Lonchura striata: one gene and its partner. The protein of the gene in region 2 purifies or fractionates together with the protein of the main gene of each other region. This does not show direct contact. Links are inferred from orthologs where the notes say so. Each region holds a gene or a part of one and is shown on either strand. Other genes may lie near its edges.

Evidence for each region. The genes of interacting proteins can lie anywhere in the genome.
Region 1: the proteins of SAP30 (region 2) and MTA2 purify together in Homo sapiens (affinity purification with mass spectrometry; 3 studies listed by BioGRID, with this or other methods). This does not show direct contact. The link is inferred for Lonchura striata from reciprocal best matches to the Homo sapiens genes SAP30 and MTA2.

The regions. Positions count from the first base shown.
Region 1 is NC_134638.1:417,185-425,202, forward strand, and holds the start of MTA2 (metastasis-associated protein MTA2), read right to left. Parts: upstream 3,021-8,018; 5' UTR 2,883-3,020; coding exon 2,855-2,882; intron 1,854-2,854; coding exon 1,786-1,853; intron 1,691-1,785; coding exon 1,597-1,690; intron 1,041-1,596; coding exon 923-1,040; intron 815-922; coding exon 751-814; intron 659-750; coding exon 541-658; intron 461-540; coding exon 358-460; intron 279-357; coding exon 179-278; intron 1-178. UniProt on the Homo sapiens protein: May function as a transcriptional coregulator. Acts as a component of the histone deacetylase NuRD complex which participates in the remodeling of chromatin.
Region 2 is NC_134606.1:36,160,056-36,167,155, reverse strand, and holds the start of SAP30 (histone deacetylase complex subunit SAP30), read left to right. Parts: upstream 1-4,023; coding exon 4,024-4,329; intron 4,330-5,599; coding exon 5,600-5,722; intron 5,723-7,100. UniProt on the Homo sapiens protein: Involved in the functional recruitment of the Sin3-histone deacetylase complex (HDAC) to a specific subset of N-CoR corepressor complexes. Capable of transcription repression by N-CoR.

The DNA of each region.
Region 1 (8,018 bases), on a different chromosome or scaffold from region 2:
ATGTGAGATATAAAAAAATCTTTGGATGTCCCAACAGGACATGAGGAGTTCAGAAGAAGTTTTGGGGTCTCCCAGTGAGAAATGAGGAGGTTCTAGAGAGGTTTGGGGGTCTCCCAGTGGGAACTGAGGGTTCTGAGGGAGGTTTTGGGGTGCCCAGGGGGCTGGGGTCCCCCCTCACCAGGGTGATGTCCCGGGAGGCTGCGGCCGCGCTCATGTGCAGGCTGGGCTGGCGGATGGAGCTGCTGCAGTCCAGCGCCCGGGCAAACGTCCCCACGGCCCTGGGGGGGACATGGGGGGGTCAGCAGGGTCCCCCCAATCCCCCTGACCCCCCACCGACCCCCCCCGATCCCCCCTCACCGAGCCACCACCAGGAACTGGTCGATCTGCCGGTCCGTCAGGGGGTTGTCGGGGTCCCACACCTTCATCTCCATCTTCTGTTGGTTCCGGTTGTCCGACTCACCTGGGGGAGGTTTGGGGGGGCTGTCAGGATGACCCCCCCCCCATCCTGCACCCCCCAGAGCCCCCCCGAACCCCCCAAACCTTCGGCCAGACGCTCGGGGATCTCAGCTTGGTACTTGCAGCCCACCCTGATCTCGCCCTGGTCTGCCAGCAGCGTTTTCTGCACGGGGTCGAAGACCAGCGAGTAGAAGAAGCAATCCTGTGGGGAGGGGGCACATTGGGGGGGCTCAGCAGGGTGGGGAGACCCCCAAAATCCCCCCCCAGACCCATTTTGGGGCACACAGAACTCACCTCCTTCTCCAGGTACTGCCCCAGGATGTCGGTCTCGTTCAGCAGCGTCACGCTGCACTTCCCCCTGTAGGGGAAATTTGGGGAGAGGGTCACCCCAAAACCCCTCCCCACGCAGGGGAAGCCCCCCCAGAGGGTTTTCCCACCCCCCCAGAGCCGTTTCTGCCCCCGGTACCGGATGTGGGTGGCCGGGAGGGACTCGAACTGGCGAGACAGGAACAGCTCCCGGTGCTTGAGCTGGTGCCGCTGCTGCTCCGTCATCGGCGGCTGCTTCGACTCCTCCTCAAACTCGCCTGGGGGGGCCGCGGGGGGGTCACACCGGGGTGTTCCTCCCCCAAAATCCAGCTGGGAGGGCCCATTGTTCTCCCAAAACCCCCTCTGGGCTTTTGGCAACAGCCCCGAAGAGGGGGAGGGGAGGGAGGGGGAGGGGCCGTGGGAGGGGAGAGACCCCCCCCAGGAAGGGCAGGACCCCCCCAGTTTGATGGTTCAAAGGGGTCAGTCCTTTACCTGTAATTCCCCGCCCCAAAATTGGCAAAACCCCCCCAAAATTCAGCCCAAGAGAGGTGGAGAGAGACCGAGCAGCTCCAACCCCCCCTCAAATTTGGGGCGCCCCTTTGGGAGAGGTCACAGACCCCTCTGCAGCACCCCTAAATTACCCCAATAATGTCAAACCAGTTCTCCCCAAATTCTGGGAGCACCCCATTGTGATATGAGCCACAGACCGCCCTATAAACCCCCTAAAAACCCCTCAAATCCCCCACCCACCGGCATTACCCTTGGCCTGTCCTTTAAGGCTGCCCCCCAAATCCCCAAAACCTCCCCAAAACCCCCCAAAAGCCCCCCACTCACGGGCATTGCTGTCAGCCAGGCTGTTGAGGCTGCTGGAGATGTCACGCCGTCGGAACAGACAAACCACCTTGGCCTCCACGTTGCCATTGGCCGTCTGGGGGGGCACAGGGGGTCAGTGGGGTCCCCTGGGCTTGGGGACCCCCTCCCCAGGCTTGGAGACCCCCCTGAGGAACAGGGCAGGGGTCTCACCTTGTTGAGCTCCTCGATGCGCCGCACCAGGTAGGGGTTGCTGGAGGAGTTCTCGAAGTAGACGTAATCTGGGGAAAAATAGGGAGCAAAAATTGGGGGGTCACGAGGGCAGCCCCACCCCCCAAAAATCCTTTTTCTCAAACTTGTCAGGATTGTTCTTAGTTCCACCCAAATCCCCAAAATCCAGGGGGTTTTTGCAGCCAGATGTTCCCCTCATGGGAACGGGGTTTGTTACCCCACAGGACCCCCCCTCATTTCCCCCCCTCAGCCCCCCACTACAGACCAGAGGTCCCCCCCTGGCACAGACCTTCCCTCACAAATGAGGGTGGAGGACACCCCCCAAAAAAATCTCGGGTTCCCTTCTCATCAGAGACCACCCCCCTTTTTTCTTTAGATTTTTTTTTTTTTTTTTTTTTTGGGGGGGGGAGCCGTCTCCCACCTCCACGCCTCAGAATTTGGGGTCCCAAAGGAGCACACCCCTTAAAGAACCCTCCCCATTTCTGGCACCTCCTTTTCCTCACAGACTCCCAAGTTCCCTCACGAACACCCCAAATCCCCTCAGGGACCTCCTTAACCCCCTCACGGGACCCTTTCCTCTTCAGGACCCCCCCCGCCCCTAAATCCTCTCCCTCCAAATTCCCGCACGGGACCTCCCCCCCCACCGCCTATTGCCTCACAAGACACCCCCGCTGTTTCCGGGACCCCCAAATTTCCTCACAAGACCCTCTCCCCCTTTCCGGAACCCCCAAATCCCCTCACTGACCACCCCCCACTCCCCTCACGCTTGCCCCTTTCCAGGACCCCTCACGGACCCCCCCCCAATTCCCCTCACGACCCTTCCCGCGCCTCACGGAACCCCCAAATCCCCTCACAGACAACCCCCCCCGCCCTTTTCCCACTCCCCTCACGCCTCCCCCTTACCTCACGGACCCCCCCCCCCCCCAAAATCCCCTCACGGACCCCCCCAAACCCCCCCCCACACTCCGCTTTCCGGGACCCCCAAATCCCCTCAGGGCCCCCCCCAGAGCCCCTCCTGGAGGTCCCTGCCCGCGGCCCCCGGCCCGCTCACCGCCGACGCGGTACATGTTGGCCGCCATGGCCGCTCGCTCGGCCGCGCTACCCCCGGGCCCGGCCCCGGCCGCGCTTCATCGCCGCTCCCGCCGCCTCCGCGCCGGCACGGCCGGTTCGGAGCCCTTCGGGCACCTCCGGAGACGTTCGGCAACCTCCGGCAAGACCTCTCGGGCACCTCCGGAGAGGGTTTGGGCAACTCCGGAGAGACTCGGGTATTGCCGGATGCGTTCGGGCACCTCCGGCACGGGTTCGGCGCCGCCTCGGGCGCTTCCGGAGAGACCTCGGCGCTTTTCGGGAAAGCCTCGGCTTGGCCTCGGCTCTCTCCGGCACTCCTCGCCTCAACCTCGGCTCTTTCCGTAACGCGCTCGGCGAGTTCCGCCAGAACCGGAAAGGCGCCGAGGGCGGGCACGGAGGAAGAACCCGCGGCGCTTCCGGGAAGCGGCGGCGATCCCGGAGGAAACGGCGGGGTCCTACCCTGACCCCAAGGCTTTTATTGACGCCTCTCACAGTGCAGCGCGAAAACGCGGCGGGGGGGGAAAGCTTTCCACCAAACCCCGAGCCGCTCTTTGGTCCCAGGAAGGGGGGAAAGGGGGAAGAGGAAGCAGCGAGGAGGAGGAGGAGGAGGAAGGCGCGGGGCTCAGGCGCTGTCCCCGGGCAGCACCCGCCACTGGAAGACGCTGGTGTCCTTCCCGCCCAGCGACACCAGGTGTCCGTCGTCGTGCGTGAAGCGCACGTTGGTCACGTGGCTGCCGTGCCCGCCGTACACGTGACTGGGAGCCTGTGAGGGAGGGGGCGACACGTGACTGCGGGGTCACGTGGATACAGCCCCCCCCCCCCCCCCGCAAACGGGGGGGGACCCCCGAAATTGGGGTCTGACCCCCCCCCCCATACCCCTAAATTGGGGTGTGGGACCCCCCACCCCGATCCCCTCAAACTGGGGTCTGGGACCCTCCCGAGCCCAAAAATTTGGGGTCTGGAACCACCCCACGACCCCTCAAATTGGGGTCTGGACCCCCCCCCATACCCCTAAATTGGGGTGTGGGACCCCCCACCCCGATCCCCTCAAATTGGGGTCTGGGACCCTCCCGAGCCCAAAAATTTGGGGTCTGGAACCACCCCACGACCCCTCACATTGGGGTCTGGACCCCCCCCATACCCCTAAATTGGGGTGTGGGACCCCCACCCCTCACCCCGATCCCCTCATCCCCTCAAATTGGGGTCTGGGACCCTCCCGAGCCCAAAAATTTGGGGTCTGGAACCACCCCCACAACCCCTCAAATTGGGGTCTGGACCCCCCCCCCATACCCCTAAATTGGGGTGTGGGACCCCCCAAAACACCCAGTGGGTTTGGAGCCCCCAAATTTGGGGTATGGGACCTTCCTGAGCCCAAAAATTTGTGGTCTGGACCCCCCCCAGCCTCTCAAATTGGGGTCTGGGACTCTCCCGAGCCCAAAAATCTGGGATTTGGACCCCCCCCCAAATCCCCCCAGAACAGCCAGTCCAGGGGTTGGGATCGCCAACCCACCGGCAGTGAGTCTGGACCCTCCTGACCCCCCAAACTGGGGTCTGGGACCCCCAAACTGGACTCTGGGACCCTTCCCCAGCCCCCCCGAAACCCCCCCAGAGCCCGGTGCCCACCTTGGCCCGGGCACAGGGGTACTGGAACAGGTGAACCTTGCAGAAGTCGTCGGCCACGGCCACCACGCGCTCGTGGTGCGAGCGGCACAGCGAGTTGATGTCGGTGCCGTCCGAGCCGTCCGGCCACACCCCTGCGCCGATGTCGGGGGTCAGGGGGACCCCAAAAACCCCCAAATACCCCTCTAGAAACACGCAAAGCTCTCGGGGAGCTGGGGACCCCAAAAACATCCACAAATACCCCGCTAGAAACACCACAAGGGCTTGGGGAGCTGGGCAACCCAAAAAAAACCCCCCAAATATCCCGTTAGAAGTACCCAAAGGGCTCAGGGAACTGGGGGACCCCAAAAAAAAAAAAACCATTAGAACCTTCTGAAGCTCTCAGGGAGCTGGGGGACTCCAAAAAAACCCCAAATACCCTGTCAGAAACACCCAAAGCTCTCGGGGAACTGGGGATCACCCCAAAACAACCCCAAATACTCTGCCAGAACCACCCCGAGGGTTCGGAGAGCTGGGGGACCCTAAAAGAAACCCAAATACTCCTGACAGCACCCCCTGAACCACTTGGGGAGATGGGGAACCCCCCCAAACCCCCCCTGAGACCCCCCGAGCCCCCAGACCCACCGAAGACGTGGAAGCCCAGCACGCAGGTGTAGGAGGCCCATTCCCGGTCCCGGCTCTCGAAGCGGTTCCGCAGCAATTTGCAGCCCCCGGCCACGTCCCCTGGAGGGGGGAGAGACCCCCAAAATCTGGGCTGGGGGGGGCTTGGAGAGTTCACCCCGAAATTTGGGGTGGGGGGTAGTGAAAGGCACCCAAAATTTGGGAGGAGGAGGAGGGAGGGAAAAGGGAAAGCCCCCCCAAAAGCTGGGGAGGGGAAGGGAAAAGAGACCCCCAAAATCTGGGGAGGGAAAATGACACCCCCCCAAAAAGAACCAGGGGAGGGGGACAGTGAGACCCCAAAGTCTGGGGGGTCCCGGTGGGGTCAGGGGGTTCCCCCCAGCTTTGGAGGTCCTGGCAGGGGCAGAAGGGTCCTGGAAAGATCTGGAAGGGCCAGGAAGGTTCAGGAAGGTCCTGGCAGGGCCAGGGGGTTCCCCCCAGCTCTGGGGGTCCCGGCAGGGTCAGGAGGGTCCCGGCAGGGTCATGGGGGTCTCGTCAGCCCCAGGGGGAGCCCCCCAAGCCCCCAGACTCACAGTAGAGGATCTCATAATCCCCTGAGTTGGACATGATGAACCGCCCGTCCTTGGACCAGTCCAGGTGGGTGATGAAACTCGAGTGACCCTGGGGGCAGCGGGGGGTGGGGGGGGTCGCTGGGGGTCCGGGGGGGTTTGGGGACCCCCCCCCAGCCCCCGCCAGCCCCCCAGCTCACGGTGCAGCGGCCGAAGCGGCTGAACTTGCGGCCGCCCTCGGCCACGCTGTAGATGTAGATGAAATTGTCGTGGGAGCCGATGGCCAGGAAGGTCCCGTCTGCAACGGGGGGGACGCGGGTTTGGGGGGGACACGGGGTTTGGGGGGGACACGGGGTTTGGGGGGGCATGGGCTTTGGGGGGGACACGGGGTTTGGGGGGGACACGGGGTTTGGGGGGACACGGGGTTTGGGGGGCATGGGGTTTGGGGGGACACGGGGTTTGGGGGGGACACGGGGTTTGGGGGGGACACGGGGTTGGGGGGGACACGGGGTTTGGGGGGACACGGGGTTTGGGGGGACACGGGGTTTGGGGGGGCAGGGGGTTTGGGGGGGACACAGGGTTTGGGGGGGCTTGGGGGGGACACGGGTTTGGGGGGACACAGGGTTTGGGGGGATTTGGGGGGACACGGGTTTGGGGGGAACATGGATTTGGGGGAGTTTGGGGGGACACGGATTTGGGGGGTTTGGGGGAACACAAGTCTGGGGGGGCCCCATGACCTGGGAGGGTTTGGGGGGGGGTTCCACACACTGGGGGGGGATTTGGGATAGTTTGGGGACAGGGAGGGATCAGGGACAGTTTGGGGACATTCTGGGGACAGGGAGGGATCAGGGACAGGCCAGAGACAGTTTTAGGACAATTTTGGGACAGGGAGGGGTCAGGGACAATCTGGGGACAGTCTGGGGACAGTTTGGGATCAGGGACAGGCCAAGGACAGTTTGGGGACAGTTTGGGCTGGCAGGGGACGCGGGGCTCACCCGGTGAGAAGCGAACCACCGAGAGCTGCTCGTTCCCGTCCGAGCCCCCGGCCAGGAGCTGCCGCGTGCCCGTGTCCAGCACCAGCCACCTGCGGGACGGGGACACGGGGACATGGGGGGACACGGGACATGGGGGGACACGGGACATGGGACACGGGGGGACACGGGGACATGGGGGGGACAGGGGGACATGGGGGGACACGGGACATGGGGGCGACAGGGGGACATGGGGGGACACGGGGACATGGGGGGGACATGGGACATGGGGGGACACGGGGACATGGGGGGGACACGGGACATGGGGGGACACGGGGGGACACGGGGACATGGGGGGGACACGGGGACATGGGGGGACACGGGGACATGGGGGGGACATGGGGGGACACGGGGACATGGGGGGGACACGGGGACATGGGGGGGACACGGGACATGGGGGGACACGGGGACATGGGGGGGACAGGGGGACATGGGGGGACACAGGGGGACACGGGGACATGGGGGGACACGGGGACATGGGGGGACACGGGGACATGGGGGGGACAGGGGGACATGGGGGGACACAGGGGGACACGGGGACATGGGGGGACACAGGACAGGGGGGGACACGGGGACATGGGGGTGACAGGGGGACATGGGGGGGACACGGGGACATGGGGGGGGACACGGGGACATGGGGGGACACGGGGACATGGGGGTGACAGGGGGACCATGGGCACTGTTCCCCTGTGTCCCCATCTCCCCCCGTGTCCCCTTGTCCCCCCATGTCCTTGTGTCCTTCCATGTCCCCCCATGTCCCCCCGTGTCCCCCTGTGTCCCCTCCTGTCCCCATGTCCCCCCGTGTCCCCCGGTGTCCCCCCGTGTCCCCCGGTGTCCCGGTCACTCACCGCCCGCTCAGCAGCCCCACGGCCACCACGTGTCCCCCGGGGTGGAAGTCGGCGCAGAGCCCGGTGTCCTGGGGGTGGGGAGGGGTCACGGGGGGTCCCCGGGACCCCCCCAGAGCCCCAAACCGGGGCTGCCGCCACCCCCCGCACCCCAAACCACCCCCAGCCCCAATTCGGGGGTCCCCAGCCCGGGTGTGCTCCTCGTCCCTTGTCCCCAGAGCACCCCCTGACCCCACAAACCGTGCTCCTGACCCATCCCCAAACGCCCCCTCCCCACTTTCAGGGGTCTTCACCCAGCCCCAGCCCCAGCTCCAGCCAGGGCGTGCTCCTGGTCCCTCCCCAGCCCTTCTGTACCCCCATTACAGACCCTAAGCCCCCGAAACCTCAATCCTGACCCCTCCGGGGTGTCCCCCTCCCCAGTTTTGGGGGTGGCCGCCCACCTCCAGCTCCAGGCTCCAGTTCCTGTCCCTTGTCCCCAGAACCCT
Region 2 (7,100 bases):
CTAAAACATATAAAGTAAAAAAAAAAAAAAAAACTGTAGGCAAGTTCCAATATTCCTAAGCTTTGGGTCTATGCTTTAACAAATTTGGACAATAAATTGGAAGCAGAGCAACAAGCAGTAGGAGGTTAGGTGGTGCTGGAGTGGGAAAGGAAAATGAGGTATTAAAAAAATCAGAAAAAAGTAAAAGGAAAGATAAAATTAATAGCACTTATTTCTGGTAAGGAAGATTTGGCCACTGTTCTTTATATCACAGCCCATGAATGCTTGCTTATAGATTAGGTTGCTTTTTTATTAAAATGACCAGAGTGAGTGGTGGAATTTGCAGAATTTTTCAAATGTTTTAAAAGAATTTTTTTTCACTGAAGTAGTTACAATATATAACAAATAAAATGTGTATTTGCTGAGAAAAAATGCCTACCAATAGTTTTCCTTATTATTCCTTTTGCTAAGAGGATAATTTCAGGTGCTGAACACAAGTGCACTAATGTACTCTTGGACTTCAAGTGAAAGGTACCTGCTGGGGAAGAGAATCATCCTCCCCAGCTGAACTTTATGCCATGGAAATGCATACAAAGTGGCAAGAGCAACATTTATCTTCCAGGATTGATTACTAGTAATGCAATTACTAGTAATTTGCAATGTGCTTTCAATATATCCAAGGTGATGTATCTGATTATCATTCTTCTCTCTCAAATTACAAAACACATCAGTCAAAAGCTAACAGGAGCTGGGACATATGGCATCTCAGAGAAGAACAAGCTGCTGGGCTTCCACCACTTAGAAAGATGTGCTTGGCCTGCCTCAGTGCCAGGAGGGGCCACTGAGTCCTGCTGACTTCAGAGCCTGGGAGCTGTGAATTCAGACTTTTTGGGATGCTGTAGCTCCTGTTCTTTCTGCATGTCACAAGTCATCCATGCTGTGTTCTTGGTAGGCCCAAGGGATATAGATTACTGCTACCTTCTGTACTACTCAGCTCTGCTGCAAGTACTAGTGACACATCATGTACAGGGCAGTTGGTTTGGAGCTGCTGTTTCCTTTGAACTGTTTTAATTTTTGAAGTTTAATCAGTATATGGTTGCAATCCTGCATGTTTTTATGCTTATTTAAAATATGTCCCCATACATGCTTTATTTAGTACCCAGTACTAGAGTTTGTATTAAAAAACTTAAATTTTAGACAACATACTCCACAATGATTTTGCTTTTTATTTAATGTATCCCAAGCTTCATGAAAGTTTGTAAATCTGTTTTGTAGTAAGCTTCATACTTTCTGATAAACCCATGTAGCTGCAGTTCTTTGTATTTTTCATCCCACGTGTGATGCAAGATTAAAAGTGACATGATTTCTTTGTTACTGTAAGCAGGCGTTCATACCAAATGAGGTGGTCATCCCCTGTCAGAGTGCTGCCCTTCTACTGCACCATCCCGGGTGCTGGGGCATCTTGCAACTGAGTGGTAAAACAGGTCAGGATTAAATCTAAACAATTTTTCTTGTTGCTAGCTTAGTTGTAACCCAATACAGTTTGCTGTGCAGCCACAGCAATATTTTTATGGGCACAAAGAGGCACAGGGCACAGGTGCGAAAACGAGCAGCTTACAGCAGAAACAGAACCATCTTTCTAAGTCCCACGACTCTCTTATCATGACCTAATCATGAAACTATGGTACTACTTTACTCGAAATTACGCTTATAAATTAGCATCTTGGCAAGCACGTCTGGGTAACATAGTCAGGCTTTTAACTGCTCAAAGAGGATCAGAAACATTTAAAATGCACACGTGATCTTTCCATCAAACCAAACAACAGCAGCCAGAGCCAGTCATAATATTTTATGCTCATAGTAAGGTCAAATCCATCTGAAATTTTAAAAACAAACAAATAAATAAATAAATAAAAAGGGACCTCAGAAGACATAGTCCAAGAGTCTAGAAATTGCTATTCATGACCCAGATTTTCACTGAAGAATTCCTGGAACTCACCTTTGTCCCACTTTTCCCAGATTTTAGCTTCTGCTATGATATTGGGGGTTTTGTTCTTTTTTATCTTAATATTACTACAGATTTCAAAAGTTTGAAATCACAAGAAACTAAAAAAGTGAGTCAAACCTTTGCTGCCTGAGATTGTTCAGCAGCAGAGCATGGAATTAAACCTAGTCTTCAGCTTGGCTGATAACAAAGCAGAGTTCAGTATTTTTTCCAACTCTCCTCCTATTCCGAACCTCGCTAATCACCGAAACGTGCCTCGGAGAGCTGCTGTGCCTGTGCTCAGGGTAGCTTCAGTTTCTGTATCCTTCATTCGGTTGCGACAGTGGGACCAGCCCTTATTCTCTAATACCCGGTTACGCAATCAGATTAAGGAGCCATCTGCAGCACAAACTGAAACTGCTCTATAATCGCGTTCTCGGCTCACGCAGAACTTTGACTTACGCAGGATCTGTGTCTCCTTGAATTATTCACCAGCCTCCCTGCTACTCCTTCAAGCTGGAAACGCACAGCAAGCGATACGGTCAAATATTTCAGTGATTAAATCATTGCGCTTTGAGCACGCTCAGCTCAAATGCCGTTTCTGAGATTTAAAGGAATATCTGCGGTAGTTCAAAGGGAAAGCAAAACCTCTCCCTTCCTTGTGCCTCCTTTGAATGTGCTTGAAAAGACAGTAGATCAGAGCTTGCTGCTTTTGCCACTCTGCTGTCAACAGCTGAATTGTTAAATGATTTAATGCCAACGCATCTCTTGTGTAGCTTTGTAAAGCCTCAAAACTAAAAATACCTGCTTTTGTCAAGTATTCACAGAGTGTCTATTTTACCCAGCCGTGTGCACAGCAAGGTCTTGGTTCATCATTAGCGAAAATAATTCTGCATTCTCAAGGCTTTCCTGTTGCTACAGTCACCTTTACTAACAAAATGTCTTTTTAAATGACAAAACTAGAAACTCGCACTGTACGTCGCCTTTGTCTTCAAAAGGCTTTGCTACAGGAACGCAGGACGGAGCCCTGACTACGTGTGTTGTAAGATCAGCCCTAACAAAGGCCGGAGCTCCGTTTGTTTTCTGCTGAGAGCCGCAGAGCCAGCGGCTGCGCGGCGGCTCCCGGGGAGCTGCCTCCCGCAGGCGGAGGGGCAGGAGCGCTCGGACAGAGCCCGCCCGCCCTCTCCGGGAGCCGCTGCCAGCCGTAGCCGACAGTAGGCGGAAAGTAGGAAGCGAGGCAGGGCAGAAATGTCGAGAGGGAAGGCACGAGACAGACAATCCGGAACCAACAGCCGGAGCAGTGCCGGCTTCGGCTAGAACACTAGAGCGAGAGCAAGTGAACGGGGGGAGCCGCTGCGGCACAGCGAGCCGGCGGCGGAGGCCACCGGGCCCGCGTCGGTAGGAGCGCGGGTACGAGCTCAGTCGTGCCGGCGGCAGCTCCGACCCGTGACACTCTCCGCGGCCGCCCTTCCACATCCCACGGCGGAGCCGCCGGGGAGGCGCGGGAAGGGGGAAAAAGAGAGACTGACGCACGGGGCTTTGCAGCGGGCCCAGCCTGCAGACGGGATGAAAAGGCAGCGGAGCGCGGCGCGGGAAAAAGAAGCGGCTGCGGCAGCGAATGCTGCCCCCGCCGCTGCCTCGGCCGCGCTCCCGCCGCGCGGTGCGGCGGCGGCCGGGCAGGAACTGCGCTTCCCGTGGGGCCGCGCGCGGCAGCCGGCATGCGCGGCGGGCGGGCGGGGCGGGGCGGCAGGTTGCTGTTGTTACATAGGAAACAGCTGAAGAGTCTCCACATGACAGGGGGGGAAGGAGGAAGTGGGGCGGCCCGCGGGGCTCTGCCGCCGCTGCTCCGGTAGTCGCGGTGCTCGGCTGGCGGCTGCTGGCAGGGAGAGTCCTTCCCGCGACGCGTGGGCTGACCGCCCTCGAGGGCGGACTTGCGCCCCGGTGCCGCCGCCGAAGGGAGGCGGGCAGGGAGCGGGGGAGCCCCCCGCCGGGCCGCGGCGCCTCGCCGGGGAAGTTTGGTGCGGGGCGGGATCCCGCCGGCGGCGGCGGTGGCGCCGGGCATGAACGGCTTCGCCCCCGAGGAGGTGACCCAGCGCGGGGCAGACCCCGCCGCCGCGGCGGCGGTGGGCGCTGCGGGCTCCGCCGTGGAGGTGCCGCCGCCGCCGGCGCCGCCGGGGCTGGGTCCGGCCGCCGCCGCCGCGGGCTCGGCGGGCGGCGGGTGCGCGGGCGGCCCCGGGGCCGGGCAGCTGTGCTGCCTGCGGGAGGAGGGGGAGCGATGCGGCCGCGCCGCCGGCAACGCCAGCTTCAGCAAGCGCATCCAGAAGAGCATTTCACAGAAGAAGGTGAAGATCGAGCTGGACAAGAGCGTAAGTCCGCGAGGGGAGGACGCGCCAGGGCTGCCGGCGGGGCGGGCGGACAAAAGCGGCCGGTAGGTCGCCGCATCTGTGTCTTAGCTGGCTGGGGGACTTTTCCTCAAGTTTGGTGGGGAAGGAGGGGAGCGTGGCGGCGGGGAAGCGTTCGTTCCCCCTTCCCACCTCTTTTCCGTAGCACGGCCGAGTTGGGCTGGCGCGGCAGGAGCGCTGCCTGAAAGTCCCTCCGGGCGGGGGGCAGCGCCCGCCTTTCCTGCCTGCTCCTGAGGTCCCCTGTACCCCAAGAGCCTGGGCATCGACTGCGTGTGCCCCCCTGTAGCCGGAGCCGGGGGTAAGCGTGGCCGGGAAGCGCCGCTGCCCGCCGGAGCGGAGCGGAGCCTGCATGGCTCCCGGCGCGCTAGTTTGTGTTGCTGGCGAGGGCCGCGCTCGCCGCCCCGCCTCGTGTTGCAGCGCCGCACGTCTCCGGTGCCGCTTTATCTCCCGCTCGGCAGCCATCGGGCCCCGCGCGGCCGGGCCGGGCCGGGCCGGGGCCGGCCGCCTTCCAGCGCGGTGCTTCGCCCGGGAGCCCGGAGAGCGCCCGCCTCGCCGGGTGCCGCGGAAGGGCGAGACGGGCTGCAGCGTGGAGCTGCCGGCGGGAGCGCCCCGGGCCGGGGCTGCGTGCGCCCCGAGAGACCCGGCCCGGTGCCCCACGCTGCAGCCCGGTGCCCCACGCTGCCCCGCGCTCCCGTTCGCCCTGAAAGCACGCGGACCGGGGCGTTCCGGGCTGGCAGCGCCCGGATCTCCCAAAGCGTGCAGAGCCCCACGAGTGGGAAACTTGTTAAAAAGAAAGAAAGTAAAAATAAGTGTGTTGCGTGACCGTGCCGGGTAGCGGAAGTAAAACAAGGAGGGGAGGATATAGCTGGGGAAACGAGAGCCGTCTCTTAGCCCCGCAGAGAAAGCTGCGAGCTTGTTTTTTGTTAGCGTGCCGCCCGGCCCCCGCGGTGCGATGCGCGGCCGGAGGGAGGGAAGGAGGGAGGGCTGTGCTGCGTGGCTCCACAGCCTGGCACTGCTGCATCGGCCCATTGCAGCATTTCAGCGAGCTCGGGGCCCAGCCGGTGGCGGGGAGCCGCAGCGCAGCTCGCTCTCCATTTACAATAAACCAGTGGAAAAGCTCCCTCAGCCCAGTTAATGTGGCTGTGAGTGCTTAAGGGTTGTCTGTCTACGTGCACTTCAGTCTGGGAGATACACTACGTGGGTTTAATTGAAAGATACCGTTTTATTCTTGTAGGCAAGACATCTGTACATTTGTGACTTCCACAAAAATCTAATTCAGAGTGTGAGAAATAGAAGAAAGAGGAAAGGCAGCGATGATGATGGTGACTCACCAGTGCAAGACATCGATGCTCCAGAGGTAGCTGAACAGTTGGGTTTTTTTTTCAAGTTATTGTCTTAAGCTTCTTAATGACACTGAGTCTGCACCAATACCACTCTTCCACTTCTGCAGCTTTGCCTTACGTGTAGGAAAGAGAAGATTCTTGATTTGCCCTGTTTTTAATATAACGGAATTTAACTGAATTTTTGTGGTGTGTTTTCTGATTAAATGGTGCATAGGACAATGAAAGAGTCTCTAAGTGTCTGATGCTTCTCTCAAAAATCTACTGTTTTAAGATTTCTCTGAGAAATCTACTGTTTTCCTCCTTCTTACTGTTTTGCCACATGCCATCGAACTCTTACCTTTTGCTGAAGCTTACAAGCTGAAGGGAGTTGCACAGAGTGCTTAGGATATAAATGCTTCTCTGTCCTGTCCCTTTTGTGCTAAATGTGTTGCAGGTAGTTCTAGGCAATTGCTCCATTGCCTTAGTCACTTTAAAGACTGAGAGTTTAATGATGGTAGCTTTGTTTCTGCCCACTGTGGGGGGAAGAACCATTTGGAGAGCTCTGCTATGAAGGAGTGGAGAAATACGGTGTCTTTTAAACCTGTTTTCTCCACTGCACACCAGTGAAATCTGACCCATTAACTAAAGCGTTCAACCTTTCTCATAGTGTAATGGGTCGGTCTTGAACATAAGGCTCTCTTTTTCTTACACATGCTCTAGGTTATTTTTGCTACAACGTTGCTTAGCAGGTGCTCCACAATGTGTTAATTTTGAGCAGAGGCTTATTATGCCTACGTGGTTCTTTCTGAGAGGGATTGTTAAAACATTCTTCAGAAATCGCTCTGTAAGTGTTAATGTAATGGCATCCTTATGGTCAGCATCTGCAGATAACAGCAAGTAAGTGAGTAAAGTTTGTGCAGGAATCTGTGCCTTCAGGCACGAGGCTCCAGTCTGAATGTTCTGTCTAAGAGGATTTTAGGAGATTGAAAGTAGTTTGATGCTGAGTGGTGTTGTCTGTCTGTTAAATATCTGTGATTGTTTCTTGGAAAGTTCTGTCTAAAGCTAGTGCTGTGAGTGACTTCAGGTAGCTTTCTGACACTGTGTAATTGCAGCTCTCCTGGGAGCCTGTTTTGTTTTCTTATGCCAGGATTATAAAACATGTCACAACTGATGGATATCTTCAGAACAAGAAAACAAGCCTTTTTTTTTAAACAGTATTATTACAAAAGAGAAAACTGGGAACTGTTTTTGAGAAGCGTCAGCTGGCTGTTTGGACAACGGCAGTCTGTTCTTTCCTTGTAATTACTGTGTGCCTTAGATACTTGCTTGCTCTTGACCACCTTTATTTTCAATTGTTACCCATTTTGCTAAAGAAAAAAGTATCATTCTTCTGAAGAGTTGTAAGGCTCTCCT